Oryctolagus cuniculus: one gene and its partner. The protein of the gene in region 2 purifies or fractionates together with the protein of the main gene of each other region. This does not show direct contact. Links are inferred from orthologs where the notes say so. Each region holds a gene or a part of one and is shown on either strand. Other genes may lie near its edges. The genes, in order: VGLL4 and IRF2BPL.

The links.
Region 1: the proteins of IRF2BPL (region 2) and VGLL4 purify together in Homo sapiens (affinity purification with mass spectrometry; 3 studies listed by BioGRID and IntAct, counting the BioPlex papers as one, with this or other methods). This does not show direct contact. The link is inferred for Oryctolagus cuniculus from reciprocal best matches to the Homo sapiens genes IRF2BPL and VGLL4.

What each region holds. Positions count from the first base shown.
Region 1 is NC_091441.1:115,533,265-115,548,398, reverse strand, and holds the start of VGLL4 (transcription cofactor vestigial-like protein 4), read right to left. Parts: upstream 8,290-15,134; 5' UTR 7,807-8,289; coding exon 7,725-7,806; intron 1,507-7,724; exon of another isoform or gene 1-1,506. UniProt on the Homo sapiens protein: May act as a specific coactivator for the mammalian TEFs.
Region 2 is NC_091451.1:22,811,132-22,826,268, forward strand, and holds IRF2BPL (probable E3 ubiquitin-protein ligase IRF2BPL), read right to left. Parts: upstream 7,827-15,137; 5' UTR 6,929-7,826; coding exon 4,562-6,928; 3' UTR 3,735-4,561; downstream 1-3,734. UniProt on the Homo sapiens protein: Probable E3 ubiquitin protein ligase involved in the proteasome-mediated ubiquitin-dependent degradation of target proteins. Through the degradation of CTNNB1, functions downstream of FOXF2 to negatively regulate the Wnt signaling pathway.

The DNA of each region.
Region 1 (15,134 bases), on a different chromosome or scaffold from region 2:
GAGCAGCCATGAAGATTGCACCTTGCACAGAGCCTGGGGAAAGAAAACAAGGATGGAGCTGGACTAAGCAGAGCACACAGATAGGAAAAGCCAACAAAGGGATGGTACATCCTCAATTTTTTTCCTCAGAGGATGTATAAGGATTCTTCCAGCTGGACAAGAAGGCCAGCACTCTACTGGACAAGATACAGATGCATGCACATTATACATACAAACATGCGTGAACACAACATACATACAAATATGTATAAACGTATCAGAGACAAATGATACGGCAATGCTTGATGCCCACTGTTACTCTAGTACTTTCCTTCACTGCATCTCTTCTCCTACCCTTATAAACCACCTTTTATTGGGATGACGCCTCTGGTAGAAAAACAGCTCCTGCTCTGGTCTCCAACACTGGTGGGAACTGCTCTGGATACTGAATGTAGCAGGTCAGTGCAGGAAAAGCTGTAACCGGTTATATGCTGAGGACACCTAGTGTCCTCCACCCTTTCTAACCTCCATTCAGGAGGGCCTGGGGCAGCTGCTATGCTGTATGCTCTGGGCAACAGCACCAGATCGCGTTCAGCAGTGGTTCTAAGCACCAGCAAGGAGGACTCAGTTTCTCAGCAGGAAAGTAAAACAAAGGTTCTTTGTGGGGTCAGCCAGTAGTTTATCAGTTAGTTATGAGAAACAAGAAGAAGAACAAAAGAAAACGGGTAAAGGAAAAGCTGCTGACATTAAAATAAAACTTTACATTCAGCCCTTGTCACTTTAACGGTGCTGCCACATAATAGAAGATGTGTTTATTTTCAAAAAGGGGGAAATGTCCAGAAATCTGCACTCATCACTCCCTTAACTATTACCAGGGAAGGAGGACACTCAGCCCAGCTGGATTATGGGTAGTGTAAACAGCTTTGCTAAACTGCCTGGCAGAGCACATGTGCATGGGACCACTGCATTCTGGAACCCACTCCATGAAAATCAAGTCGCCAGCCAAGAAGAATTAACAGGAAACTATTTTCATGCAAAGCAGACATAAAATAAAAATCAAGGGCAATCCATGTGGCTAATTCCTTTTCATTCATGATTTTAGACTGTGTAGAAGACAGTGCTGTTGCAGATCCCTGTTGCTGTCTCTGTATACAGCGTAGAGCACTGTCTGAATGCTGAAGCAACTAAAGCTTGTTCCGTGTATTCAAAAGTCCCTGCTAGGGCCAGTGCCACGGCTCACTAGGCTACTCCTCTGCCTGCGGCGCCAGCACCCCGGGTTCTAGTCCCGGTTGGGGTGCCGGATTCTGTCCCGGTTGCTCCTCTTCCAGTCCAGCTCTCTGCTGTGGCCCGGGAAGGGAGTGGAGGATGGCCCAAGTGCTTGGGCCCTGCACCCCATGGGAGACCAGGAAGAAGCGCCTGGCTCCTGGCTTCGGATTGGCGCAGCACCGGCCGTAGCGGCCATTTGGGGAGTGAACCAACAGAAGGAAGACCTTTCTCTTTCTCTCTCTCACTGTCTAACTCTGCCTGTCCAATAAAATAAATGAATAAAATAAAAATACAAAGTCCCTGCTTTACATACAAAGAAATTTGGCAGTGCAACAAAGTTGACTTGGACCAAGTCTCCGCTTGTAAGCAAATTGCTTCTTGATGCAGAACCAAAGCTGCTGTTCAGACCAATTCACACCGAGTATCTCCCACCCATGCTCACTCTGCACTCTCCCAAAAGCAGCAGTTTCTTACACACAATTTTCCACTACAGCACAGGTGATGGAGACCTTCCACAGATGGGGAAGAAGGTCAACTAAATAGGAAGGGGGGGGCACGGAGGCAACTCAGGCTGAAGAATCCTCAGCTCAGTTTAATGAGAAGTGGAGCAGTAGTGACTAAGAAGGAAGGCTGGGGCATCTGCCTCAATTCTCCACCCACACCCCCTCACACGTGCCCACCCGCCCACACACACACACAACCCCATACCCACACACCTACCCACCCACCCACACCATACCCATCCCCCACACATACACCCAACCACACATACACCCACACACACACACACACTCTCTCTCTCTCTCTCTCAGATAAGCTGACTTCATGCGGAAAAGCAAACCTCTTGGGACGTGTCCATCACTTTAGAACACATGATGTGAAAAAGACACAAAAGATGGCGTACAAGGCAACTCCAGCTGCACAGGACTCAAACACATAAAATGGAGGTGCTTTGTGTACCTATAAACTACACATGGCTGTGTCTACTTCCCAGTACGTACAGTATACTTCCTAGCACAGCACGCCAGAGATACAGCACCCTGACACACTGCTCGGCAGACTGCAGGCATCCCACGTGTAACAGAACGGACTCCAGCTGACAAGTGGGGAGTCCTCACCAATTCCAGTCTGTTAGGCTCACAGCCTCCCTTGCAAACACAAGGGTGAAATGTTAAGAGTCTGGAAAGATTATACATATAAATAGCAACAAACTGAAAACAGTTTATCACTGGTAAGTAAACGTTTTTTTTCAACTAAGACTGATTCAAATGATTAGGATTAAAATACTCTATCTATAGCATCCTGAACTGAAAACAATCTGTAGAACTGAGGGCTGACATAGTGGCAGCGGATTAAGAGGCCACTTTTGAGACCAGGGTTATATCAGAACATCAGTTCCGGTATCCACTTCTGATCCAGCTCCCTGCTGGTGTGCCTGGGAAAGCAGTGGAAAATGACCCAAGTGTTTGGGTCCCTGCCACCCAACAGGGAGACCCAGATGGAGTTCCTACCTCCTGGCTTTGGCCTGGCCAAGCACCAGGTGTTGCAACCATCTGGGAAGTGAACCAGCAGATGGAAGATCTATCTGCCTGTCTCTCCTTTTGCCTTTCAAATAAATAAAGCAATCTCAGGGTAAAAAAAAAAAAATCCCTTTAAAAATTTAGAAAAGGCAAGACAGCAAAGCAAACTTACAGAAATAACTCTGTAGAATTTAGCAAAATACATACCATTCAAACATTCAGGAGAGAGGAAGCCCATGCAAACAGATAAAGTAAAATCATTTTCATTTTCAGGTCCTGCTTTCAAAATAAGCACCATGGTATGCACCATGGTACATGTGTGTGTGTTGTGTGTGTGTGTTTTGTGTTTTAGGGGGAGGGGCAGTACCCTAACGTGAGTTCTTTGAAAAATAAAAGCGGAATTGGGGGTGAATGGATTACTTAGTACTACAAATTTAATTTGCTAAGCAAAGCTAAAAAAACAGTTACGAGGACTGCTGGTGTGTCACAGTGGGTTAAATCACTGCCTGTGACACCAGCGTCCTAATTGGGCACCTGTTCGAGGCCCAGCTGCTCCACTTCTGATCTAGCTCCCTGCAATGTGCCTGGGAAAGCAGCAGAAGATGGCCCAAGTGCTTAGGTCCCTGTCACCCATGTGTGAACCTGGGATAAAGCTCCTGGCTTTGGCCTGGTCCAACCCTGACAGTTGCAGCCATTTGGGGAATGAGCCAGCAGATGGAAGGCTGACAGAGCTCTCTCTCTCTCTCTCTCTCTCTCTCTGTAACTCTGCCTTTCAAATAAATAGGTAAACTTTTTTTTAAAGTTACCATGAACTAAAATATACAATGCAGATATCATTAAATACAATTCACCACTGAATAAATGTCAGACAGAGAGATCAAACAGTCAGAAACACTCCCTACATCTGCATACAACTGATTTCTTTACAACAAAACCTACTTTTCTGCAACACCCTCAAAGGCCCGGGTCCTTCTGGTGGGTGACCAGCAAAAACTGCAGTACATCTGTGCAGCACGTTTTCAAAAGTCACCACACAACCACAATCCATGCACCCTGGGAACACAGAACAATCAGGGAGGGGAGAAGGAAGGAAAAGAAACCTGCCTTCCCACCCGAGCCAAGCACAGGCTCCAAAAGATAAACAGCCAAAGAAAATAATCCTTCAAGAAGGGGGTTGAGAAACAAGGGAGGGGCTCTGGCAGGACGGAGGGCGGCACGGCACCTCCAAGCACAAGGCTGTCAGACGAAACACAACGCAACTGGGTCTCCCAGAAAGCAGTGCTCCGGCGCTCACCTGGGCCATGCCGTCAAGGCTCTTCCCACTGCCCGCACCTCCCCTGCCAGTAGACAATTCACATCAAACAAATCACAGCTGTTCCCAAGGAGGCCCTCCTGGATCCCAAGTGGTCTGCAGGGCTGGGGACACATGACTCTCCTCTCTGGCCTTTTCACCTCTGCAGGACTTTGCCCCCTGAGCTCATCAGACAAAAAAACAATTGAAAGCAGGGCTCCACCGAAACAAACGCCAACCCCTGTGAGGCCTCAGTCCCCACGCAGGGAGTCGTGTGTGCACGTCCCTGCCGACTCCACAAGCTCACTTAAGTGCAGCCTGTGAGCGAACAAGTGCTAATTATGCTCAAAAACAGTGAACGGTTCTATAACGTGTGGAACTCAGAATACTCTTAAGCTTTAAGACCAATCACAATATACAATTTATCCTTACTCTCTTCCAATATAAACTATGCTTTTAAATTAAAAGGAGAGAATTCTACCAAATTACATACTAATGGCCCTTAACTTGTAATTAAAGAATCACTAGCAGCAGCGTAAGCCACAGCCGAGTGCACATTTATTAGACCCTAAGTTCTGAGCACTGAGGAACTGGGTGAACCTGAGTGTAGCTGTCAGCCATCTTGAGAAAAGCTAATGGCCAGCCCTGCTCCCAGGAGCTTACTCTGGGCACTGGCATGCCCACAGGGCCACCAGCTCCTTACCTGCACAGTCAGAAAATAGGAAACCAAACCCAAGTGCCAAGGCAGAAAGAGAGGCAAACTCCAACGAGGCCGCTCACCTGGAGGCACCATTACCTACTCCTTCCTGGGCAGCACCACGGCCTCCACTTGGACCAGCGGGTGGCTTCCAGGCAATGAGGAACCAAACGAAGATTCAACTTGTGCTGTAACCCAGCACATAATCCCATGCGGGGGTTGTGCAGGCACACAGAGCAGACCACGTCCCTAACATTAAGAAGCGAATAAGTAATGAAGGAGACAAGACACGCGCTAATTTATAGAAGAGAACCAGCACCGTCACAACCGCTCGGCCCCAAGTGCAGCTTAGCTCCTCAACACTTTCTGAACACACTTCTCCAGCCCTCAGTCGCCTTGGCGAAAACAAGGCAAAGGTATGAGATGATGTCGGAGGCCCTGGATAGCTCTGCAGCAGGCTGATAATTACAGAACACAAGACATCATGTCATTAAATGCTAAATTATACAGTAATGACTGCAACCACCGCTGGAGAAACTGTGCTTTTGTGTGTGTGTGAGTGTATGTGTGTGTGTGAGTCAGCCTTCATTTTAAGCCACTTCCTTAGAGCCCATCAGGCACTGCGCTGCGACCAGGGGAGGCAGCGGTCACTAAGAACCCTGCCTGCAGGAGGCTTCCACCCATCCAGTGGGGCTCGGAGTTCAGAGGGGAAAATAAGGGCTGGGAGTGGGCCTGTGACTTTCCTGTGGAGACAGAGAGAGCACTGGGCCATCAGAGCACACGAGTGCAACCGTCCATGAGGGCAGGAGGCGAGGACAAGTGGTTACCCTGGAGCGCAGTGGTGATGACGGGGGAAGGAGGCGAGGACGAGTGGTTACGCTGGAGCCTCAGAACAGCCGTATCAGCAAGCTCAGTTAAGCCCATGGCTGGTCCTGAGCAAAGGTAGCTAGTTTCCAGAAGTTGGCCACACTGAGATTCTTCCTACCCTTCACCTACTTTCCCCACCTACACCCATCAGGCCCCAGCCCAAATCTACTACTTTAGGGTACACTGTGCCCTTGTCTTTTCAGTTCAGCTTGCAGGGAGCAGTCACCAAGCAGGTGGTCCACAGCCCTACCTTCCACTCGGGGTTCTCAAGCTGCAGGGGAGTCAAGAAAGATGGCGCAGACGAGTGGCTTCTACTGCAGGACCAACCTGTGTCAGGTGCGACTAACCAGCCGACACAGTAAGAAAAGTCAACCCTCCACTTCTTAATTTTCAGAAGTGCATATGCCCCCTATGTGTCCTGACAACGCTGGAACCTGGGCCCTAATGGATACCAAGCGTCGCCCACCAACGGTAGCTTCCACTTCCAACTCACTTGCCTGGACGCCAGGGAGCTGAACTGTGGAAAACGCATCCGCTCAAGTAATAGATCTTCAAGAAGAACAGCAACTGCTCCCACCTCTCCTGCCCCCAAATCCTATGTATTATTTATGCCCGTCCTCAAAACCTCCTTCCGAGTCCAGACCAGATGTGTGCAATGTTTACACTGAGGAGACCACCAGGACGTAAACAACTCACTATAAACACACTCGGAATTCTGCTGCGCTTTTCTTCATTTCCTGTGTACTTATTTTGGTGTTAAAATAATGTTAACTTTCTTAATAAGGAAAATAGAAGCAGATGTTTAAGCCGAACAGACTATAGGCTATTATCCACCAAATCGGCTCAACTTTCAAAAATCAGAGTCTGTTCCTCCCGAGTCAGGAGGGAAAGGAGATGGGACTACTCTCCCGAACGTCCCGTTGAACGTCACTGACTACACTGCGATAAGCCATCGACGGCAGGCTTGCCTCTACCAACGGCAGACATAAAAAATTAATCTGGTATCGATTTCCTAACCATCCTTCTTCCAGTCCTCTCTTGGGCTCATCATTAGGCTTTGTTTTTAAAATATCGTATTACGTGTTAACAAAGACAATGCAACAGAAACCACCTTAGAAGTCTTGGTTTCTTGTTCAGTGGGTACATGATCTTTAAAAACTGACGGCAGCGTGTTAACTGCACAGGAAAGCAGCCCAGCCGTGGACAAAAATCGGACTTTTAATGAGCGAGTTCAGAAACAAGATGACCCTGGGCCCAGCAGATTCAAAGAAAGCAATTCGCCAAAGTTCCCCGAACTGGAACGAGGCGGAGTGGAAAAGAGAGGTCCTTAAAAATAAAGGAACACATAGAACTTTAGGTGTGAGACCCCTACCCACAGATTTGGATGAAACAGCAACTTCGGTGCGATCTTCCCTCTGAGGAGGAGAGCTAAGTTTTCAACCCACAGGAAGCAGGCCTGACATTTCCACCAGAAAAACACAGCGACCCGACACCCCTCCCCCCAGCCAGGGTCAGCGTTCTCCTCCTCCAGCAGAAACGGGGAGTTCGCGGGCCGAGCGCTCGGCCGGCCCGCCGCGGCCCCGCGGGCCATGGCCCCTTCTCCCGGGCGCACGTCAGCTCCGGGCCGCCGAGCAGAGCAGCCGAGCAGGCCGGGGAGCCGCCCCGCCGCCCCGCCGCCTCCCGGGGCTGCACAGGAAGCGGGAGGCCAGACAAAGGGCCGGCCTGTGCCCTCGCGGGCGCCCGCGTCGTGCGGGGCGCGGGGCCGGCGCGCGGCCCTCCTCCCGCTGCCCGAAGCCGCGTTCCAACTTCTCCTCGCGCCCCACGAAGAAAATGCCAAGGAAACAAACAAAACACACACACACACACACACACACACACACACACACACACACACACGGGGGGGGGGGTGCTTCGGGAGTTAAACATTTCAGGACGCCGCAAGCCGAGAGAAAGCAAAGTTAAGAAAAAGAAGGCACCACAGCGCGTCCGCGTCTCCCCGGCCGCCGCGGCCCCAGGCCGGGACCCGGACCGACCCGGCGCGCACGCACCCCGCACCCCGCCGCCTCTGCGGCCACTCCCCGGCCGCCGGGCCGCCGACACCCACCTTCGTAGCACAGAATGCCGATGCTGTTGTTCATCTTGTCCAGGTACTGGTAGTTCAACAGGTCCATCTTCATCAATAGCATTTATCGGGCTCGCAAAGAAAACCAGCTCTCCGCGCTCGCCCCCGACAGGGAAAAGTTTCCAAACAATCACTTGTTGCTGACGGAGGAGCTCCTGGCTCTTTTTGCTTAAACCGCACAGGGACGGAGGCCCGGCCTCGGAAGCGCACAACAAAACAAAACAAAACAAAACCAAAAAAGCCAAAAACCAAAACGGAGAGGGGGGACACGCGCCCGAAAACCCCCGCCCTCACACGACACCCTCGCAGCGCGGGCGGCCGACCCTCACTCGGGCATGCGGAGAGCGTCTCGGCGCTCTCTACGGGGCCGCGCGGCGCGCGGAGGCAGGGGCAGAGGCCTGAAAACGGCGACCCCGCAGCGCATCGCCCAGGACAAAGCCCCGCTGCCCTCGCTCACAGCCCGCTGCGAGCCGACTGCGCGGACATCCTGGCCACGCTCGCGGGGACGCGTCCGCGCCGCGGCCTCCTCCCGCCGGCGCGCGCGTGCGCACTGGCGCCCGGCGGGCCGCGAGCGCGAGCGCACGGCGTCAGGCCCGGCGCGGGGCCGAGCGCGGGGCCGAGCGCGGGGCCGAGCGCGGGGCCGAGCGCGGGGCCCGCGAGGGGGGCCCGGGCAGAGCGGCCTGACAGGAAGCGGCCGGGCCCCTGCAGGACCGTGGGAGGAGAAAGTTAAGCCCCGGAAGTTTCTTTCTTTTTTTCCAGGAGCTGAGTGTAAAGTAAAAAAAAAAAAAAAAAAAAAAAAAAAAAGGATAGAGGAAAGAAAGGAAAAAGACATCCATCATGGAAGCGCACTGAAACTTTCGGCCAACTTCACTTAGGGGTTTTGCAAGCCCGAAGGGCTTGGCTTTGGTGTAGAGCTACACAAGGCGTCTTTGTTTCTTTTTTAAGAACGTCTCCTGCGGCCTGCGTGCACTGCAGCTGTCCGCGGCGTGGACGCCCGTCTGTAATCGGCTGACGGGGCAGTGCGACGCGGGCTCACGGGCGAGCCCACCGTCCTCTGGCGGGCGGGCGGGCGGCAGGGCTTCTAGGAGCCCACTCCCCGTCACCGCCAGCGCCCACCCCCCAAACTGGCGGACTCAAAGCTTCTGGAACCTTCTCCCAGCGGGTGGGCGGCTGGCGCCCTCTCCCAGTTATAACTCGCTGTCCCCCAGCGGGTGGGCGGCTGGCGCCCTCTCCCCCAGCGGGTGGGCGGCTGGCGCCCTCTCCCAGTTAGAACCCAGCGGGTGGGCGGCTGGCGTCCTCTCCCAGTTAGAACCCGCCACCCCCCAGCAGGTGGGCAGCTGAGGCCCTCTCCCAATTAGAACCCGCCATCCCCCAGCGGGTGGGCGGCTGGCGCCCTCTCCCAGTTAGAACCCGCCATCCCCCAGCGGGTGGGCGGCTGGCGCCCTCTCCCAGTTAGAACCCGCCATCCCCCAGCAGGTGGGCAGCTGAGGCCCTCTCCCAGTTAGAACCCGCCATCCCCCAGCGGGTGGGCGGCTGGCGCCCTCTCCCAGTTAGAACCCAGCGGGTGGGCGGCTGGCGCCCTCTCCCAGTAGAACCCAGCGGGTGGGCGGCTGGCGCCCTCTCCCCGTTAGAACCCAGCGGGTGGGCGGCTGGCGCCCTCTCCCCGTTAGAACCCAGCGGGTGGGCGGCTGGCGCCCTCTCCCAGTTAGAACCCAGCGGGTGGGCGGCTGGCGCCCTCTCCCAGTAGAACCCGCCATCCCCCAGCGGGTGGGCGGCTGGCGCCCTCTCCCCGTTAGAACCCGGGAGCTCTGCCGGAGGCACAGCAGCCCTTGGCTTTTCCGCACGTGGGAACCTTGAGGGACAGTTTTATCTGCGCGCATGGTTCCGGCGGTGGCACCACCAGCAGCCCAGGCCTGGAGCTGGCGCTGTGGCGCGCGTGCGGAGTGCGTGCGGGGTTAGGCCGCAGGCTGCAGAGCCGGCATCCCTTAGAACTCCTGGTCCAGTCCCGACTGCTCCACTTCCCGTCCAGCTCCCTGCTAACGCCACCTGGAGAGGCATCACAAGGTGCCAGTGCTTGGGCCCTCGCCACCCAGGTTGGAGACCTGAAGAAGCGCCTGGTGCCATGTCTGCCTGGCCCTGCTCTGGCCATTGGGGCTATTCAGAAAGTAAGGCAACGGGTGAAGCCTTGTCGCTCCCTGTTTCAAACAAACAAATCAATCTTTTAAAAAAGGGGGTGGGGTAGCCTAGGGCTTCTTTTCAGGATTCTTCAAGCATGGAGGAGTGGGCCGTATTTAAATGGATAACCTCACAGGATGGCTTGTGTGCTAAAAATCTAGCAAGAGGGCCGGCTTCGTGGCACAGTGGTTAAAGCCAGGGCATGCCACATGTGCGTGCTGGTTCAAGTGCCCAGGGTGGCAACCGCTCCACTGCGCATCCACTTCCCCTAATGTGCCTGGGAGACAGCAGAGGATGGCCCAAGTGCTTGGTCCCTGCCAGGAAACCAGGATGGAGTTCCTGGCTCCTGGCTTCCATGCGGCCCAGCTCCAGCTGTTGTGGCCATTTGAGAATTTTTTTTTTTAAGATATATTTATTTATTTGAAAGAGTTACACAGAGAGAGAAGGAGAGGCAGAGAGAAAGAGAGGTATTCCATCCACTGGCTCACTCCCCAATTAGCTGCAACGGCTGGAGCTGCACTGATCCGAAGCCAGGAGCTTCCTTTGGGTCTTCCCACGCGGGTGCAGGGGCCCAAGGACTTGGGCCATCTTCTACTGCTTTCCCAGGCCATAGCAGAGAGCTGGATCAGAAGTGGAGCAGTCAGGACTCGAACTGGCACCCATATGGGATGCTGGCACTGCAGGCAGAGGCTTTACCCATATGCCACAGCGCCGGCCCCCATATGAGAAGTTAAGCAGTTGATAGAATATCTCTGTCTCCTCACCCTATCACTCTGCCTTTCAAATAAAATAAAACCTTAAAAAAAGAAAATACACGGGCCGGCGCCGTGGCTCAATAGGCTAATCCTCCACCTTGCGGCGCCGGCACACCGGGTTCTAGTCCCGGTCGGGGCGCCGGATTCTGTCCCGGTTGCCCCTCTTCCAGGCCAGCTCTCTGCTATGGCCAGGGAGTGCAGTGGAGGATGGCCCAGGTGCTTGGGCCCTGCACCCCATGGGAGACCAGGAAAAGCACCTGGCTCCTGGCTCCTGCCAGGATCAGCGCGGTGCGCCGGCTGCAGCGGCGGCCATTGGAGGGTGAACCAACGGCAAAGGAAGACCTTTCTCTCTCTGTCTCTCTCTCTCACTGTCCACTCTGCCTGTCAAAAAAAAAAAAAAAAAAAAAAAAAAAAAAAAAAAAAAAGAAAATACAACAAGAGTTGCATTTGGGGTAACAGGCACATTTGGGACAAGTTGTTCTAACCAAACATTACTTGCAAATTCCCATGACACCCAAATATTGCTGTCGTCACTACTGCAGTAGTAATTGGGTTACAGCAGCCCAAGTAAGCAACAGAAGAACAAATATTTCAAAAGCTTCCCTTTAAAAGGATCTTCACTGATGCCACATTGCATCTGGTAGATCTGAAGAAGCTGCACTGAAAGATACCAACAATAGTAATTAAAATACCTAGCTGTGGCCAGGGAGTGCAGTGGAGGATGGCCCAAGTGCTTGGGCCCTGCACCCCATGGGAGACCAGGAAAAGCACCTGGCTCCTGCCATCGGATCAGCGCGGTGCGCTGGCCGCGGCGGCCATTGGAGGGTGAACCAACGGCAAAGGAAGACCTTTCTCTCTGTCTCTCTCTCTCACTATCCACTCTGCCTGTCAAAAAATAAATAAATAAATAAATAAAATACCTAATGGTAGGAACGCCCCTTGTGGTGCAGCAGGTTAAGCCACAGCCTGCGGCGCTGGCATCCCCTATGAAAGCACTGCTTCGACTCTTGGTTGCTCCACTTCCAACCCCGCTTCCTGCTAATGCACCTGGAAAGGCAGAAGTTGGCCCAAGTACATGGGCCCCTGCCACCAGAGTAGGAGACCAGGATGGAGTTCCTGGCTCCTGCCTTCAGCCTGGTCCAGCCCTGGCTGTTGTGGCCATTTGGGAAGCAAACTAGTGGATGGAAGATTCTCTCTCTGGTACTCTGACTCTCAAATAATTTAAAAACCAAAAATCTTAACATGTCTAATAATGATATTTGGCAGGGGAGGTTGGAAGAAAATTCTTACAAGGTCTAGTACATACAAATTGCTCTGAAAACAAGTTTAATAGCTTTAGGTGTCAGATTCAAATTCATCCAGTAGTTTTGGACAAGTACTAGCTGTGCTGGGTTCTTTCACCTAAATTCTCCATCAGAAAACTTGGCACACCATCAGCATATCATAGAATGGGGGGAGAGCTGACTGCACCTGAGGCTGTGTCCCAGAGTGATGTGAGGGTGGCAGCCCACGGCTGTGGCTTTTACAGGGCCCCAGGAGACCCTGTAAGGTGATACCCCTTGCCTCCATACTGCATTTGATACGCTTGCTTTCAGGAGTGTTTAAAAATACATAGCGGATCTGAGCACAGTGATTGCTAACTTCCCTTTAATGACTCGGCATCACTGCCAGCAGTGGTCTCCAGAGGGCCTGGGCACTTTCCGGTGCATCGACCCGCCCGCTACCTTGCCTGCGTTTCCGTGAGGCGCTGGCGGGTACAGCCAAGTCCCATGCTGAAGTACCTGCGTCTGATGACTAGCTGTGGCTCCTGATGCCAGCTTCCTGCCAACACAGACCCTGGCAAACAGCTGGTGATGGCTCAAGTAATTAGGTTCCTGACTTCCACGAGGGGAAACCTGGATTGAGTTCCCGGCCCTTGCCTCTGGCCTGGCCTAGCCCAATCCCTGCTGTGGCGGGCATGAAGGGAGAGCTCTGTCTCCATCTCTGCCTTACAAATTTAAAAATATGCATATATACAAATGTACACACATAAATAAAACAATCTGGCATCAATTCCCAGGCCCCAGCTGCACCCTCCTCTCTGAGCCGGGAGACTGCCACAGTGTGGACCATGAAGAGGCTGTCACCAGTCCGAGAGAGAGAGAGAGAAGCTGAGAACCAGCAATTGGAAATTTTTATAGTGCTAGGAAAGACTAATTTTAAGTCTCAAGTATGAACAATTAAAAAAAATAAAGGGTGTATTTTTTTCATATTTCTAGCTATTGAGTTTCACTGCGTTTTACAAGGTATTAATCTGCCACAAAGTCTGAAACAACAAACAAGCAAACAAGAACTTGGTTTCCATGGGGAAGCCCTATGTGGCAACAGCAGCTCTCTGCAGCGGGAGAAGCCCTCCGTGGCTGGCCCAGGCCGTCCACCCCAGCTCCTCACAACTTTCACCAAGTGCTTTCCCCCCACCAGTCACATGGCCTTGCTCCTCAGGACACGTCTGCACGTCCACCCTGCATGGGAGCTTCTCCAGCCTGTCCTGTGACACCCCCTGGGTCCCATCCTCCCACCCCTCACCCCTTCCCCTGTACTATCCGTTCACCACACACCTGCTCTCACCCTAACCAGTCCAGGTGTTCAGAGCAAGGGCTATGCCTTCTTAGCCTGTTCAAGGTCAGTCTGTTACATGGTAGGTCAATAGTAAATACCTGTTGATTAAAATCAGCAAGATTAAAACATCTAGGGGCAGAGTCGTAGCCCACTGGGTGATGCCACCACTTGGGGTGCCTGGGATCAAATCCCGTCTCCGCTTCCAATTCTAGCTTGGGCAGCAGATCACGGCCCAAGTATGGGTTCCTGCCACTCCCATGAAAGACAGGTGGAGTTCCTGCTGCCTGGCTTTGGCTTTGCCCAGCCCAGGCTATTAAGGGCCTCTGGGGAGTGAACCAGCAGATGGGTCTCAGCCTCTCTCTCTCTCACGTATATAAATAAATAAATCTTGGGGGAAAAAAACCCACATCTAAGAGGCAGACTCTCCATCTGCCCCCTCCTCACTGCTGGCATACCTGGATGATACGGCTCCATGTGAAATGTCCATCAACACCTCTTAGGGACCACAGATCCTTACCTGTGAGGACCATCTGGATTCCAACTATACCTCAGGGCACCATCCAAAAGAAAATCCAGGGGCCAGTATTGTGGCACAGCGGGTTAAGCCACCACCTGCAGCACCAGTATCCCATATGGGCACTGGTTCATGTCCCAGCGCTCTGGGCTAATGTGCCTGCAAAGGCAGCAGTGCTTGGGCTGCTACACCCACATGGGGGACCGGAAGAAACTCCTGGCTCCTAGCTTTGGCCTTGCCTAAATGCGGCCATTTGGGGACTGAAGCAGTGGATCAAAGACCCTTCTCTATCTCTCCCTCTCTGTAACTCTGCCTTTCAAATAAATAAATCTTAAAAAAAAAAAAAATCCAAATTCTTGGAAACTGTCAATTCTTCTTAAACTGATCTTAAGGCCAATACAGTCATAACTTAAAAACCAAAAGACTAGTTTTTAAGGAAAATCTGAAAGACTTTCAAATTGTTTTATGTTTCTGTTTGTTTTTCTTATTTATTTGAAAAACACAGAGAAAGACAGTGGTCTCCCATTTTCTGGTCCCTTCCCCAAATGCCTGCAACATGAGGCTGAAGCTAGAATCCAGGAGTTCCAATGGGGGTGGCAGGGCTGCACTTCTGCCATCACCTGCTACGTCCCAGTCGCTGCACCGGAAGGAAGCCGGGTACAGGAGTGGAGCCAGGACTCAAACCCAGACACTCCAACGTGGCACGCAGGTGCCCCAAATGGCATCTTCCCACTAAGCCCATGCCTGCCCCCAGGTTCTGAATTTTACCCACCGCTCCCCAACCCACACCAACAAAAAAGATAGAAACAGCTAATTTGTTAAAAAAAAAAATCTAGAAATTTGACCTATCAGGTATTTGAAGCATGAGTAAACAACATTTATGGGTTTTTACTGGGTACTAGGTACAAAATATGCAGCATTTTTTAATAAAGAGATTTCTAAGATTTTTTTAAGAGATTTATTTATTTATTTGAAAGGCAGAGTTACAGAGAGGGAAAGAGAAAGACAGAAATCTTCCATTGACAAGATCACTCCTCAAATGGCTGCAATGGCCACATGGGATGCCGGTGCCACAGGTGGCAGCTCTACCCACTACACCACAGTGCCTGCCCCAGAACAGATAACATTAAACACAAAATCTCATATATAAGAATCAGAAATCCGGCTGGCGCCGTGGCTCACTTAGCTAATCCTCCGCCTGCGGCACCGGCATCCCATATGGGTGCCGGGTTCTAGTCTTCCAGTTCAGCTCTCTGCTGTGGCCCGGGAGGGCAGTGGAGGATGGCCCAGGTGCTTAGGCCCCTGCACCCACATGGGAGACCAGGAAGAAGCACCTGGCTCCTGGCTTCG
Region 2 (15,137 bases):
CTTCACCCCACCAGGTACTCACTCTTCTTTTGTCCCGCTCATCAGCATCCCTTCTCGAAGAAGGCTCTGGTTAACACAGTGACCTTAAATTTTTCCATTACAGTTGTTTCTTAAAAGAAATCCAGCTCAGACTCCACCACTGTGTGACCAAGGTCAAGTGACTTCGTCTCTCTGTGCCTGGGAGTCCTTACCTTCACAAGGTGGTGGACTAGACTTGGGTTCTTTTGTTTGTTTTTAAAAATTTATTTGTTTATTTGAAAGGCAGAGTTTCAGAGAGAGAGAAGGAGAGACAGAGATAGTGAGATCTTCCACTGGCTGCCCCAGGCCAAAGCTAGGAACCTGGAACTCCACCTGGGTCTCCCAGAGGAAGCTCAGGGGCCCAAGCACTTAGGTCATCTTCCACCGCTCTCCCACGCACATTAGCAGGGAGCTGGATCAGAAGTGGAGCAGCCGGGATTCAAAACTGGCACCCCGATGGAATGCTGGTGTGGCAGGTGGTGGGTTAAACCGCTGTACCACGACTCCCAGGCCCTAGACTGGGGTTCTGACTTCAAGTTCCATGGATATATGTAAGTTCCTTTAGAAATTAAGCAACACTGGTTGCATCCCAGTATCCTGAGATGTTACAGTTGTACTGTCATCCCCCATTGCATCTCTTGGATTTCAAGACAAAGGGATTTATTATCTAAGTTAGAATACATACAGGGGCATTTGGCCTAGCAGTGAAGATGTCCCCCCCCCACCCTGCCCCATCCCATATCTGAGTGCCTGCTCTTCCTTCCCCAGCTCTGCCCCAGGTTGCAGCTCCCCTGCTAACGCATATCCTCGCAGGTGTGGGAGACCCGGATGCAGCTCCCACCTCCCGGCTTCTGCCCGACCCCTCTATGGCCATTGTGGGTATTCAGTGTGGAGCACAATCTCTCTGCCTCGCAACTAAATAAAATAATTTTCAAAAGAGATACATGGAATGCATATTAATGAAGAAAAAGGCATGTGCATTCACATGTATGTGGGCGCCTATATTTTCCTGGGAAAGCTGTGTAATTTCTTATTAATCCCAGGGTGTCTCCGACCCTAACAAGTCTAGAAAACACTTCACTAGATGACTGTTCCACATTTGTGGTCATCCTTCCCCGTGGACTCTGAGTGTGCCTGGGTTTGGATCACATCACAACCTGGCGTTCTTTGTTCCTGGTTCCCACTCCCTTGATTTGACGAAGTCTAAAAGAAAACCAAAGTGACTTTCAGGACTCATTCCATCAGCCAGCGCAGCCTGGATGCACACAGAATGCACCTGGAAGCCTGCGCTTCGGCCTGGGCGTGGGAGCAGCCTTTGCTGGTGTGGCCCGTGGCTCCTCCTGTTCTCTCGAAGCTGCTGGATTGAATCCTCACGGTCCCACCCCATGGCTTGGATGCGCTGCACAAACGATGCCTGCAAGTACAATGTGGGTTTTAGAACATCTTGGCTGAGCGAGTGAGATGGAGAAGAGTAGAGCCTGGGATCACCCAGAGGCCTGGCCCTGAATCTGAGAACCCACGAGACTCCTCTGTGCCCGGCGAGGAAAATGCTCCCGGAGGCTTCCAACGTGGAAACCGTCAGCGAGGGATCAAAGCAAAACTGGATCAAGCACCCAGAACATGGGCCAGAGCAGAGCAAAGTCACGTGGTTCAAAAACACGGGGAGTGGGGGGCACCACTTTTGTTCAGTGCCCCTGGCTATGGTAAACTTTAATTAACTGCACCATTAGACTTCACTTCCAGCCTGAGTTCTGCTCTTTCCCTCCCATCCTCTCCCTCCTCTCTCCTCAAGTCAGGCTTCTTCATTGAAACCCAACTGGCCACCTCTGCTGGAAGCCTCATTGTCACAACCACCCGTCTCCTGCTAAGAATAGCACCCAGCCGCAGGGAGGGGCGGACATCGCTCTTACCGGCAGGTCCCCTTCCTTACCTGTGTGTCCCAGTGGTCATGGGCCTTGCAGTCCTAGAAGCTGCTGAGCACCGTACCAAACAAAGCAAGGTGACAGTCACAGGCCAGCACCAGTCCACATGCACATGGAGGCAGATAACAAGGCAGCCTCCCAGCTGGAGCCCTCGGACACCACTCCCAGGGTCCGCTCCCAGACAGGTAACGCACACATCTGCGTTTCTCCAAACCGTTCAAGGCCATGGCTGCACCACTGTGCCCTCCTCCAGCAGTGGTTAAACAACGCCCGCCTGTGACCCCCTCTCTGATTCTCAGGCTGTTGAGCGTTCCCCATGCTCAGAGCATGTGCGCTGGGAGCATCTTAAAGGCTCTTCCAGGCGAAACAGGCTTGGTTTTTATTAATGAGCTTAAGAGAAAAGCCAACCCAGACCTTCCAGTGAAATGTGTGATTGGTAGCCAGGCGAGGATGGATTTTGGAATTAACTCTTCCGGCAGTCTGCTATGCATTATCACCCCAAGTTAATTACCCCTGGAGGATGAAAATAGGTTTCATGACTCATAAGCACCAATACAACACTTGGCAAAAGATGAAAATGCAAGGACGCATTTGCAGGAAGCTGACACGAAGATCTATTTATAAGCGGGGAGATTCTTAAAGAGGTGAGGCAGGTACCTCCCCTGCACCAGGACTAAGACTGCACACACACACACACACACAGGGGCCTGGTTTCCACCACTTGGGGGACAGTGGCAGCAAAGCAGGAACAGAAACCGAAAGGCTGTTATTAGCAGCAAGTCCCGACACCGGCCTAACTTCCACCGGTGTTCTGGGCTAACCGGTGATTTTTTCCCCAAACGTGCCTGCGCCCATCCCCAGCCCTCTCCCTCCTGCTCCTTCTGGGATGGGAGTGGGGCGGGGGCGCCAAGTTTCCTCCCTCACTCTCCAGTCTGGGGATCACCCCGCCCAATAATGGGGTGTGGCCAGGAATGGTTTCAGATAGGGTTGCCCGGTTTTGTTTGGCTTCCTCACTCTTCCGTCTGCCTCCCAGGAAAAGTCCAAGGTTCAAAACAGGTTTGCTTGCCTGCCCCTGGTTCGTCTGGGGTCAGCCCAGGGGGCACAGCCTGAGCACGCCCTGCCTGGCCCTTCCACCTGCAGCCACCAAGTGGAGTAGGTGCACAGTTGCACTTCTGCACCTGGGGGGATGGGTTTCACTGTCACAGGTAACCCAGGCTTCAAGAACTGCCTTTGGGTTTCTCCTCTTCTCCTCCCACCAAGCCTCCTGCCTCTACACTATAAGAAGCAGGACAGAAACACACTTGTAATGCACAGGTGAACACGGCTTGGCCGGTGTGGCTGGAAGCAGCTGGGACCCTCCTGGCTGTGTGCCTGCCTTGCTTCCCAGTTGCCCACACGGCTGGGGGCCTCCAGTCCCCTGGGATTCCCCTTGTAACCCTGCAGCAACAGTGAATCCTGCCATACCTGCGAGGCAAAGCACCCTGGCTTTTCTTCCAGCTCTTTCCCCCCTCCCTGGGCATCGGCGACCACTCACGCTCCCAGGTCAAGGCACCCAAGAGCACCCCCGCTGCTGCCAATCGCAGCTGGGCCTCCAAGAGTAAACAGAAACCGCTTAGTCAGCAATTGTCTCCCGGCCAGCCGAGGTGAGTGTGCCGAGGGGGAGGGGCGGCCGCCGCACAGGCCCCTGCCCGAGCCCCCCCGCGTTTGCGCTCCGCGTTGGTCGCGGGCAGGCTGTCCCCGCCGTGGGAGCTGCGCGGGCTCAGCCCCGCAAGGACAAACTTGCTGACTCGCGGCCCAATTCATATCAATTGAATTTATTACAAGTTACTAAGCTCCAAGGCACATTACAGTGTTGTGTTAACTACAGAAATGTATAAAGGACAAACGGCAGATTCTCCATGTCTAGCATTTCGCTCTACTGGTTCAAAAGCATCCGTGCATCGATAAAGCAAAAACAAAACACGGTGAGGACCCAGCACATTCAGGTCAGCAGAAACAAACCGAAACATTTCCCCCCTCCACGAACTGGCAACAGAAAACACCCATCCCCCCCAGCACCCCCCTTACCACTGTTGCAAACTAAACAGGAAAACAAAACAAAAACAGAAATGAACCAACTAAAGTGAAGACTTCAACACTTGGGGCTGGTTAGAAAGAAGCTCTCACCATTGTATAACATATATATTTTTTCTTTTTAGGCAGCAACACTGGCCTTGGCAAAAAAAAAAAAAAAAGTCTTTTTCTTTTGTGTGTTTTTCCTTTCAGAGAGTGCATAACATTTACAAAAATACACACCAGCAGCAGTCGTTGCTAAGGGCTATTAATTCTGTACCTAGGCAAACATTCTGCCACCAAATCAACGCGAACCAACGTGATGGAAATGATTCAACCGATATTATACTGCTGAACGCAAACCAGTTTATCCTCCAAATGAAGAAGCTACATACCTTTGTTTCAAAATATAGAAACAGACGACGAAAATAACGTCTATACAGAAGACTAACTTTTTGCAGTTGTTATATTCACAATTCTACACCTGGGGGGGAGGGGCGGGGCGGGGGAGGGGCCCTCCGGATCGCGAAAGAGCCGGTCTGGGGCGCAGGGGGCCGCGACCCCGAGGCTCAAGGGTCTCTTTCCTTTTTCACTTTGACATCCCCCGCTAAGATAGTCGCGATTTCGCCCTGCATGAAGGCCCACGGTACGTTCGACCCAACCAGGGGGCACTTCTCTCCGCTGGGGCAGTACACCTCGCCGGTGGCCCCCTGGGCCTTGATGCTCTCTCTGGAACAGGGGAAGCAGAACTTGTGGCTGGGGACGGATGGGCACTGAACGAAATGCGTGTCCTCCAAGCGTTCGTGGCAAATGGTACAGCACAGGGGTCCGCTGTTGGCCATGGGGGAATCCGGAATGTTCTGGGGGTGCACTTGGTCCATGCCCGGGTGGGCGGCAGGCGGCGGGGGCGCCACCTGCAAATTCAGGTCCCCGTTACGCGACGCCAAGCGGCGTTGCCCTGGCACGGAGGCCGGCGACACTGGGCTGCTGCTGTTGCGCCGCGCCGAAGCAGTGGTAGAATGCACCGAGCTGCCGTCCTTGGGCGAGTGCGCGGTGCCCAGCGTGTCGGCCACCGACATGAGGGCGGCCATGGGGGACGGGCCGTTCTGGGGGGCCGACTCGGGCGGGGTGGTCCGGTTGGAATGGGGTCCCAGGGGCGGCGGCGGCGGGGGCGGCGGCGGGGGAGGGGGCGGACCCCCCGCCGCGTGTCCCGGCGCCGCAAAGCCCCCTGCGGTCATGGTGAGCTTCAAAGCCTCGCTCTGGTTCGCCATCCACTGCTGCCTCTGCTGCTCCTCGCCCAGCTTCAGCGCGCCCTCAGCCGAGTCTGGGGGCTCGGGGGACGCCTTCCTCTTGCGAAGGCTGGCGGCTGTGCCCCGGCCCGAGGGCGCGGCTGGCGGCAGGGCCCCCGTCCCCGGAGGCGCGCTGGGGGCCCGACTCAGACTCACGAGCGCCGTGGGCAGCATGGGGCAGCTGGCGTCCAGGTAGGGCTGGGGCAGCATGTCGGCGCCGGGCACGCCCTCTTTGAAGAAGCGCACGGCCTCGGGCAGCAGGTCCCCTAGCAGGCGCCAGTCGCCAGAGCCGTGCTTCTTCTCGTACTCCAGGTACTTGAAGCCGGAGGAGAGGCCGCGGCCGAAGTCCTTCATGCAGTCCTGGTACATCTGCTTGGCCACCCCGGACGCGCTGGAGTACACGTTGCCGGAGCCCGTGGGGTACTCGATGAAGAGCTTCAGCTCGTAGTCCATGCCGGGCTTGGAGACGGCGTCGAAGGCGAAGACGCGGCCCAGCAGCGAGTGGTCCTTCTTGAAGCGCACCTCGTACGGCGTGCAGCCGGCCAGCGTGAGCAGCGTGTCGCGCACCATCTTGGGCTTGCTGGCCCACTCCTCGGCGCGGTTGCGCAGGCTCTCGCTCAGCTCGGCCAGGGCCTCGGCGTTACGCTGCTTTTCCTTGAGCTCCCGCTCCTGGTCCGTGCTCGACACCGAGCCGGGCCTCTTGGCGCCAGCGCCCACGCCCACCTCAGCCACAGACGACGAGGTCGAGGACGACGCTGAGGACGACGCGGCCGCTACGCCCGCGGCGCCGGCCAGGCAAGCGGGGCCCCCGGGGGCGCCTGGGGGCGCGGGCGTCGGGGGTCCCCTGCTGCCGAGTCCGTGGGGCGGGGGCGGCGGCAGCACGGCGGCGCTGGTCGGGCCATTAAGCAGCGTCTGCGGCAGCAGGTTGGGGGGCACGGTGAGCTGGGGCCCCCCGCCACCCCCGGGGTTGGGGAGCCCCGTCACCAGCCCACTGTGCGTGCCACGCCGAGACGCCGCCGACGCCGCCGCCGCCGACGAGGAGTTGGGGCTCTGCCGGTTCAGCTCCGGGGGTCCCTCCTCTGGCGCCGGCTTGGGGAAGCCGTTTGGGCCGCCCAGGCCGTTGGGCAGCCGCGCGGTGTGCCCGCTGCTGCCCAGGCTCACAGGCGGCGGCGGATACTCGAAGCGGGTGCGCTGTTCCACCGCGGCGGCAGCGGCGGCGGCGGCGGCGGCGCTCAGGCCGTAGCGCTCCAGGCCGGACGGGGCGGCCAGCACCGCGGGCTTGCTGGAGGCGTCGACGTGGTTGAGCTGCTGCTGTTGCTGCTGTTGCTGCTGCTGCTGTTGCTGCTGCGCGGCCGCCGCCGCAGCTGCCGCCGCCGCCGCCGCCGCCTCCTTGGCCGACAGGGCCACCGTCTTGACCCCGACGGGCGGCGGCGGCCCCGGGGAGCGGCCGTCCTGGAAGCAGCCGTGCGCCCGCTTCAGCTGGCGCGCCGTCTCGATCACGAACTCGATGCGGTCGGCGCCCTCGTAGTTGACGCATCCGCGGCATACGGGTTCCGAGAAGTCCCAGATCATGGCCCAGGGCATGCGAGGCAGGTCGCACAGGTAGCAGGATTGTCTCCGGGACGAGGACACCTGCGCCGCCGACATGATGCCGACCCTGGGGAAGGTAGGCCCCCGCCCGGGCTGGTTCCGCGGCGCCTTCTCCGGGAGGACGGGCTGGCCGGGGAGGGAGTCCGGCTGCGGGGGAGGGGGGAGGGGGGGCGAGAAAGTTCTGCCCCGGGGGCTGGAGGCAGCGCGAGTCTCCGCCGCGGGCGCTGCGCCTCTCCGTGGGGGCTCCACCGCCGGGGCGGCGGACACGCTCAGCCTGCTGCTCGCCCCCACCTCCTACTGCGGCGGTCGTGTCGGGAGAGGGGCGAGGGCGCCTTCTTCCTGGTGCCGCGGACCGAGGGTGGAAGCTCCGGGCCCGGGGGGAGGGGGCGAGGGTGCCCCGTGCTGGCCGTCGCTGCCTCTTGGCCCCCTCCCCGGCGCGGCCGCTGCGTGGAAGCTGCGAAGGGGCTGCCTCTTCCTTTCCCCCGGGGGGCCCCCCTGCGAGCCGCGTCCTCTCTCCCCGCCGGGCTCCCCGGGGCGAGGGCTCGAGGGCTGTGCCACCCGGTGCCCAGATCCAGTCTTGCTGAAGCCGCTGCTTCCCCGGAGGGCCGGGGCAGGGGGTGGCAGCCGGGCGAGGCGCTTCTCCCCTCCGCAGCGTCTGCCGTTCCGCGGGCGGCGGCTGGCTCTGTGCGCCGGAGGGAGCCGCCACGGCCACCGTTTCCAGGACGCACACGAGCCGAGGAGAGGGGCGCACGCACGCAGGCAGGCAGGCAGGCTCCCACCGCCCCCGGGCCGCCGCGGCTGGCGGCGCTCACGTCGGCTGCAGGGCGCTCGCGCGGCGCCTCGGCCCGGGTCGCATCCCTTCCCGCTCGCGCTCGCCCGGAATGTGGGGTTGTGATTGTTACTCTACGTTCCGGAGGCGCGTCTCGGCGCTCCTGCTCGGGCTGCGGCTCGCGCTGTCCCCGGCTTGGCCGCGCGGGATGCCGCCCGGGCGGAGCGCTGACGTCACCGCCATGCTCTGCACCAGTCCCCCCCCCCCCTTTACACTTCCTCTGTCTGTGGAGCCCACTTGTTGCTCTGGAAGGGCGCATGCGCGGCAGGACGCCCAGATTCCTCCCCGCCGGCCCCTCCTCCGCGCCGCCGCCCTCCCCTCCCCCTCGCCGTGTGTGTGTACGACCTCTGGGGCTGGGCGAGCTGAGGCTGCGAGTCCGGGGCTGGGGGTGGAAATGAAACAGACGATGACCTTTCCTCTCCCTGCTCGGCTTTCCCAAGTAGAAACGCCTGCAGGAACCGCAGGCGTGGTTGGCGATCCGCGTTCCCCTCCCCACCCCAGGCCCTCATTTAAATGTCCTGTTTCAGGATTTTCGCTGAGAATTTCACATAAGGTGTTACTCATTTCATCTGCGATCGAACCCCCACCCCACCCATTCCACCTGCAGTCGCCTCGCCCCTCCCTCCCTCCCTGCGCACGGGGAGCCGCCTCGGCACCACTGATGCCGAGGCACTTGTTAAATTAGCTGTTTTCCAGTCTTCCAGAAATCGCCTTTGCGATGTGTTCTTGTGCCCTGCTCTAGGAACCCGAGCTTCAGTGGTGGCGCTAAATGAATTCAGGGCGAGCCACCCCTCCCCCGAGCCGAACTATGAAAATTCTGGCTGAATGTCTGGAGAAACTACGAGCGCCCGGAGGCCTTTAAGGAAAACAGTCCGGTCCGCGGGCTGCGCACAGCTGCGCGGGAGGGCGGGGAGGGGAGGGGCCGGAGACCAAACAGGTGAGTGCCTTTTCCGGGTTTGTGAAAGCAGGTGGGGGCAGCATTTGGTAACGCTGAGAGCTTTTTTGAAGAGTAGGGCTGCAGCCTTCAAGGGCTCTCACGTGCTGCGATTTTATTCTGTAGTGCCCCAGAAGGCTGAGTAAGGCCATGATTTTTTTTTTCTTTTACAAGATCATTGCTCATCATTATTGCTTATTGCAGAAGAGATATGTCATAGCTCTAGTTAAGGCATTTCAATGGATTTTTTTTTCTAGTTATTAGGTCTGCTGTTTTTATTTCGTGAGAATTGCAATGGCCCTCCCTGCCCCCAAGCTTGGAGGAGGTGAGGCACTGTGATGAGAGTTCAGGGTCCAGAGTGTAGCCCACCTGGTTAGAATTTCCTGTCACTCACTGCCTTTGGCACTTTGAACTAGTTACTTACAGAACTCCAGTTTTCCATCTGTAGAATGGAGTGACAGCTGTCAACCTGGGGGATTCTTTGAGCTTCCAATGTGTTTCTCATCGTAAGCTTGCGGTTCAGACACTGCACTCGGGAGTTTACTTGCTTTGCCGTTAATATGCCCTCCATTGAGAGTGTATTATCTACATTATTAAGGTTCCATTATCTATGTTATTGGACCCTTCTTATCTACAAGGGAGATTGTGTTAGTAGCCCCATCTTGCAGACCAGGTAGGTAAAGAGGTTAAATAACTTGCCTGCAGCCAATGGGGATGGCTCTAAGTGCAGTAACTCGGATTTATGACATGGCTTTCAAAAGCTAGGGCTGCAGGAGGTGCTTTGGGGTGCTCAGAATTCCCATCAGCCCCCATTCTTGGTTGCAGACAGTCTTTGATAAAAAGGTATGCAAAGGCTCCTTCCTAACGGGCCCCCAGCCTCCCCTTCTGCCAGGACTGTGACATAAATATCCCATGCAGTATGTGGAGCCCAGGAAGCTGTCAGCACATTACGGTTAGTATTGGTATTGATACTGTTACTGTTACTGATTAACGCGTGAAAGTGCTTTGTTAACTGTATAAAACCTAAGAATCATTCTTACTGCTGTTGATTATAATAAAGTTAAGTTGAAGCAACAAGAAATGCTTATATTTGTATATTTCCACCCTTGACCTCTGGAGATATCCCCCTGTCCAACACTCTGCAGCACCCCCCTCCTACTCACCGCAGGGGAGGGGGGGTTAGGGATGGGGAGACAGGGGAAAGGAAGAGCCCTAGGGAGCCGCCTCTTTCCTCTCAAAGCAGCCAGACTTCTGTTTTTGCAAAACAGTGAGCTCACGGTGCACTCCCCAGCAATAATAAACTCTCCCTGTCCTGCTGGCTCAGAGCAGTGGTTCCTCTGGTAAGAGCCATGCCTCAGCCTCCCCCACCACACCATCCTGGAGCGAGTGGCAACCTGGGGCTCCTCGGCTCAGCTGTGTGACCCATTTCTTTACCTTAATATTTATTCAGCCCTTCCTTTGATTAAACCAGAAATGCTGGGGAAACGGTGAACTAGCCACAGCCCTCTAGCCAGGCTGCTAGAGAAAGCGAGTTGGAGGCTGTGTCCGTGTTATGTTTGATATGCACACACATATGTGTCTCCCTGTCTCTGTCTTCGATGTTACTGAAGGAGACACACACACACACACACACACACACACACCAGCATCTTCAAGCAGACGTCCATGGGCGTTTAAACAGACTTTTCTTAGGCTCTCATGATCCTCTAATTTAAAAAGCACCGCTCTCTCTTTACCCTGCCCCCTCCAAGAATCCCCATCATTTCTGTTGATCAGTTGCTGCTTAGCTGCATAACCGAGGTGGAGCTGTTTGGGGATGTGTCAGAGAGATTGTGAGAGAGATGGAGCCCTCCCCCGCCAACACGCACTGATGTGGGGGTGCTCAACCTGAGAAAGCCTGGCAACAGATCTGCTCGAGGTGCCCGCACGGTGCCCCCAAGTGCCTGCTACTGCGGCTGCCTCCCTCTGCTCGCCGCCTGAGCTGGCAGCCTCACCCTGCCGTAAACTGGAGCAGGTCAGCTCTCCCTTGCCCTTTCCCAAGCGCCCTCGCTCCACGTTTGGGGTGAGAAGGTCGCTGGGCGCCTACACACTTGCAAGCTCCCTGCAGCCTCCCCGCTCTCGCCCCCCGCCGTGTTGTGGCAGAGATGGGGGCAGGGAGGCGGGGTGCTCTGGGCCTGGCATTCCCGCAGCCAGCTGGCTCAGCCTTCGAGGAGGCCCGGGCTGAACCTCGCGTCACCCCGCTGCAACGCGCGCCGCCAAGCGCTCCGGCGAGAGAAAGGCCTTTTTTGGTAACACTCAGCCCCGCGGGAAGCAAGACCCGTTCTTTGGCCTCTGAGAGCCGCCTCAGAGTGGCTGAAAACAGACGTCTGCGCTGAGCCCTCCTCTGGCCTCTCCAGGGTCCCGGATCCCCGCGCGCCAGGAATCCCGGGGCCGGCCTGCGCCCCAGGCCTGCAGAGCCGCGCAGAGGGGCTGCGGAGGAGGGTGGGGAATGGAGCAAGGTGATTTCCACTTGGACTCCTGGGCCAGGTCCCTGACGGAAGTATTTGCCTTTCCCTAAAGGATTAATCCTGTTTGGGGCTGTGTTGTGTTGTTTTGTTTTTTAAGCATTAACTTAGGCCAGGGCATAGGGTTACGCAAGTACCACTCGAGCGTGAAATCCCAGGAACAACGTGATTCGCTGAGAAGCCCGGGGGAGGGGAGCCAGCGCCGCCCGCCAGGACCTGCCCAGCCTGGGGCGCGCGGGCAGCCAGGCGCTCCGTGCAAAACTGGGTGGAAGGAAAGGGAGGGCGGGCGCAGTGGTTGGTGCTGGCACAGGGGCCGCAGCCGGCGATCGCGATCGGATCTCCGACTGCTTTCTTCCTGGAGGGGCGGGGAACAGCAAGAGGAAGAAGGGCGGGTAGGGGTGGGGAGAGTCGCGTCTGGTTCCTGCCTCCTCCCTGCTTCCTCTCCTTGCCCGCGTGCCAGGGTACCGGGGAGCCCTGCGCTGTGCTCAGCAAAAAGCTTTAGTGGTTTTTTAGGTCCAAAAATAAGAGACAGAGAGGAATAAAAAAAAAAAAAAAAAAAAAAGAGTCCCAGAGTAAGCCGCCCAGGGAGCAGGCCTAGAGAGGAAAACGCGGGGAAGAGCAGACAGGGGTGCCATTCAGCGATCCATTCGGTTTACAACAAACACCCCCAGCCCAAGAAACCTGGACAGCGAGTAAGCGGACCCCCTGGCGGGGTGGCCGGCAGCGCCACAGGTGTGCCTATCCCCGGACCCTCCTCTCCGCCCCGCTATGCAGGGAGCAGCAGCGCCAGCCGGTTCCCACCCGCCGCACCAACGGGGGGATTTCCACTCCCAGGCTCCGGAGACCCGTAGCCGCCGGCGCTTTCCTGCTGGGGCCGGCAGAAGGCGGCACCTCGGGGCGGGAGGCCCCTCCCCGCGGCCTGGCCGTCCCTCGGTCACGGCGCGTACACTTCGTGTGCAGCCGCCGCTGCCGTGCCTGATGGGGCTGGACGAGCCCGGACTTTGAAATATTTTGATTTGCCTGGGCTGGGTATAGTTCAACCGGAAACTCAGGAGAGAGGGAGGAAGAGAGGGCGTTTATTTACATGACCTCGTTCAACTTGGACTTGGCAGACCCTAAGGAGCTGTGTGTGACCTTGAGCAAATCACTTGAACTTCAGTTTCTGTAAAATGGGAATGGTGGCCCTGCCCTTTGCCTGCATTACTGGGCTTCATGGAAAAGGCGGTGTTATAATATGCTTAAGAAAATGCAGGCGGTGGTGGTGCACAGGATAATGACGCCTTCAAGGCACGTGCCCAGACGTTATCTCACCTCATGCCAGCCCTTGTGAGGTAGGTGTCTCGGCAGAAAAGCAGGCCCAGAGGCCTGGATTACTGGATACCAGGTTGTCTGGCTGCAAACCTGTTACTCCATTTCACATCTTGCCAAGTGGCTGGTTTTTGGGGAGGAGGGAGGTTGTTCAGATGCTTCTAAAAAACTGCAAGAAAGTAACCCCCCCCACACACACACACACAGGAGTTCACAGGTTACTGCCCCAGGAGATGTGAGGTTTTGGATGAATTAGCCCCCTTTGTTGTTTTGGGGTTACACATCAATGGATCACCATCCAGCTTGCAGCATTAGGTAGCCGGGTTTCCCTGGCCTCCCCTGAGACAGTCCTGGCCCTGGGCAGAGGGGCCAAGAAGGATGCCCAAGGCCTAGAACACACTCAGGTAACGGGCTGACGGAGGAAGGGAGGAAAGAGGAAATGAGTGGAGTGTCTTAAAGTGGAAGGAGCCTCTTTCCAGGCCCCAGCATCCTTTCACACGAGTTAACAAGCTTCTGCCTTCACCTAATTCAGGGCACACTGCGTGGCCGCTCACCAGATGTGTGCTGTCCTTTTCGGGGGTGGGGGAGGCTGGGCCACTCAATGACAGTGCAAGCTGCTGCTTCCAAGCACCCCCAGCCTGGCAGGCATAAAGATGGGTTGCACCTGGCCTCAGCATTCCTGGAGCTACAACGCCAGGAAACATTGTGCCCAGCCCCCAAGCCTGACAGGAGCCAAGCTTACCCCTGAACTTCCTTCTCTGGCCAGACCCAGAGCTCAGCATAAATTAGCCCCCTTTGTTTTGGGGGTGTGGCTGTGGAACTGTCCTCTTGGCTTACATTTGATTTCAAAGCTGAAGCTTAAGCTGCCTGGTGACCGACCTGGTGGGGTTCCATTGCCCATCCCCATCCCCGTTCCTTGTCCATTTGCCGTTCGTTCTGTTATCCAACTGTTCCTTTAGGGAGAGCTTTCCATCTCAGGGCTGGAGGATCTAAGGATGAACCAAGGCACAGCCCAGAATCGAGAAGCTTCCATTTCTCCTAGGTGTCCTAGTTTTCTGACGCAGTAGCCCAGAGTCATGGGAGACAGTGCTTGTTCCACACTCCCATGAGCCACGTGACTGACTTGGAGCAATCTATTCTCCAGGGACCTCCTATCCTTGCCTGCCAACTGTCAATATTCAAACCTGTTCCCCTGCTTCAGGGGCTTGCTGTGAAATTCCTTGTGGAGAGGCCCAGGGCTCCGGCCAGGCAGCGAGCCACGGGCAGGAATCACGTTTGCAGCCCTAACTCCCTCTGGGCCTGACATTAAGCCCTGCGCACCATCCTCCCCTGGGCCGCGGCGGGTTGCCTCCAGGGGTGGCCAGCCTGTTGCCTCCGTGCCCTTCTGGTAGGGACACCCATGCTGCCACAGCCTAGGAGCCTGCGCAAGACACCAGCCAGCTTGGGCTGTTTTCTCCTCATCTCTCCCAGCTAGAGAGACCAGGATTTTCCCTCCCCGAGCCCTGGTGGTGAGGCTCTTAGCCCTGGGATTTATCTGGGGCTTTTACTTTTTGTTGTTGTTGTTTTGGGCAATTTGGAAAGAAAGGAGCCAATGACCTCTTCTTTAAAAAACAAAGCGAGGCAGGAAGTGCGCTGGGCCTGAGTGGCGGAGACTAAGGGTGTAATTACAAGGTTTTGTTCAGCATTTTCATGTAATTAAACCCGAAGGGAAGGGAGCCTGGTGAGGCTTCTTGGATGGAGGGCAGAGGAGCGAGCTGGGTGGATGTGTTCTTGGGAAGGAGAGGCAGGAGGTAGGAATGGGTTTGTGTTTCAACCGGAGAAGCAGCAGGCTTCTGGCCCTTATTAGTGTTTTTCCGTTCCTTTCCCAAAAGGTAGCCGCTTATCCACCTTTGATTCGGGGCGTCTGCACCCTACACCTTCCAGCAGGGCACAGCCTTCTGGGCTCCGGGTTCCCTCTCACACTGCCGCCGTTTGCCTGGCTCCCGCACGGATGCCAGGGTGCGAGCTCTGACGCAGGAAGACCGTCTCTCCCTTTGTCTGCAGCAGCCTCGGCTTTCCCTGTCCCGCTTGGCGGTATCTCCTGCCGCCGCTGCCTCGGTTTCCCCTGGGCGCAAGCGGGCTCGGCACACACGCGCCCTCCGGCCTGCGCCGCCCATAGCCTCGGGGCGCACGGGCCCCTCTCTCCTCTCCGAGCCCTCGGTGCCCCCGCGTCGTCCCCTAGACGTCGAAAAGTGGCGGTAAGAAAGAAACCAGTGTGTGCTCGGCTTCTGCAGGGCAGGCAACCTGAGCCACACCCAAACCACGCGCCCGAAACAGGGGCGCTGGCGTTTCCCGGGAGCGCAAGCCTGGCAGCCGACCCCAAGGAGGCTCCTCCCCCTCCCCCTCCAGCCCTCCTCCTCCTCCTCGGAGCGCCCCCCGCCATGCCCACAGATGACCCCCTCGGCCCCCTTCCCCTGCTCTTCCCAAGAACATATTGTTTACCGGAACGCGAGGCCAAGAAGCCTACTCCTGTTTCTGGCCCTTGCCAGAGATTAATCACACTTGGGAACCGCACAAAACTTGGCCGCGTAGGGGCGGGGCGGGGCGCGCACGGGGGAGGGGGCGGTGAAAAGGAAAGCCCCATAAATTTGACGTTTGACAAGCTGACCAAATCCGGGCTACCGCTGCCTGCCACTCCTTTATTTGAGTAAG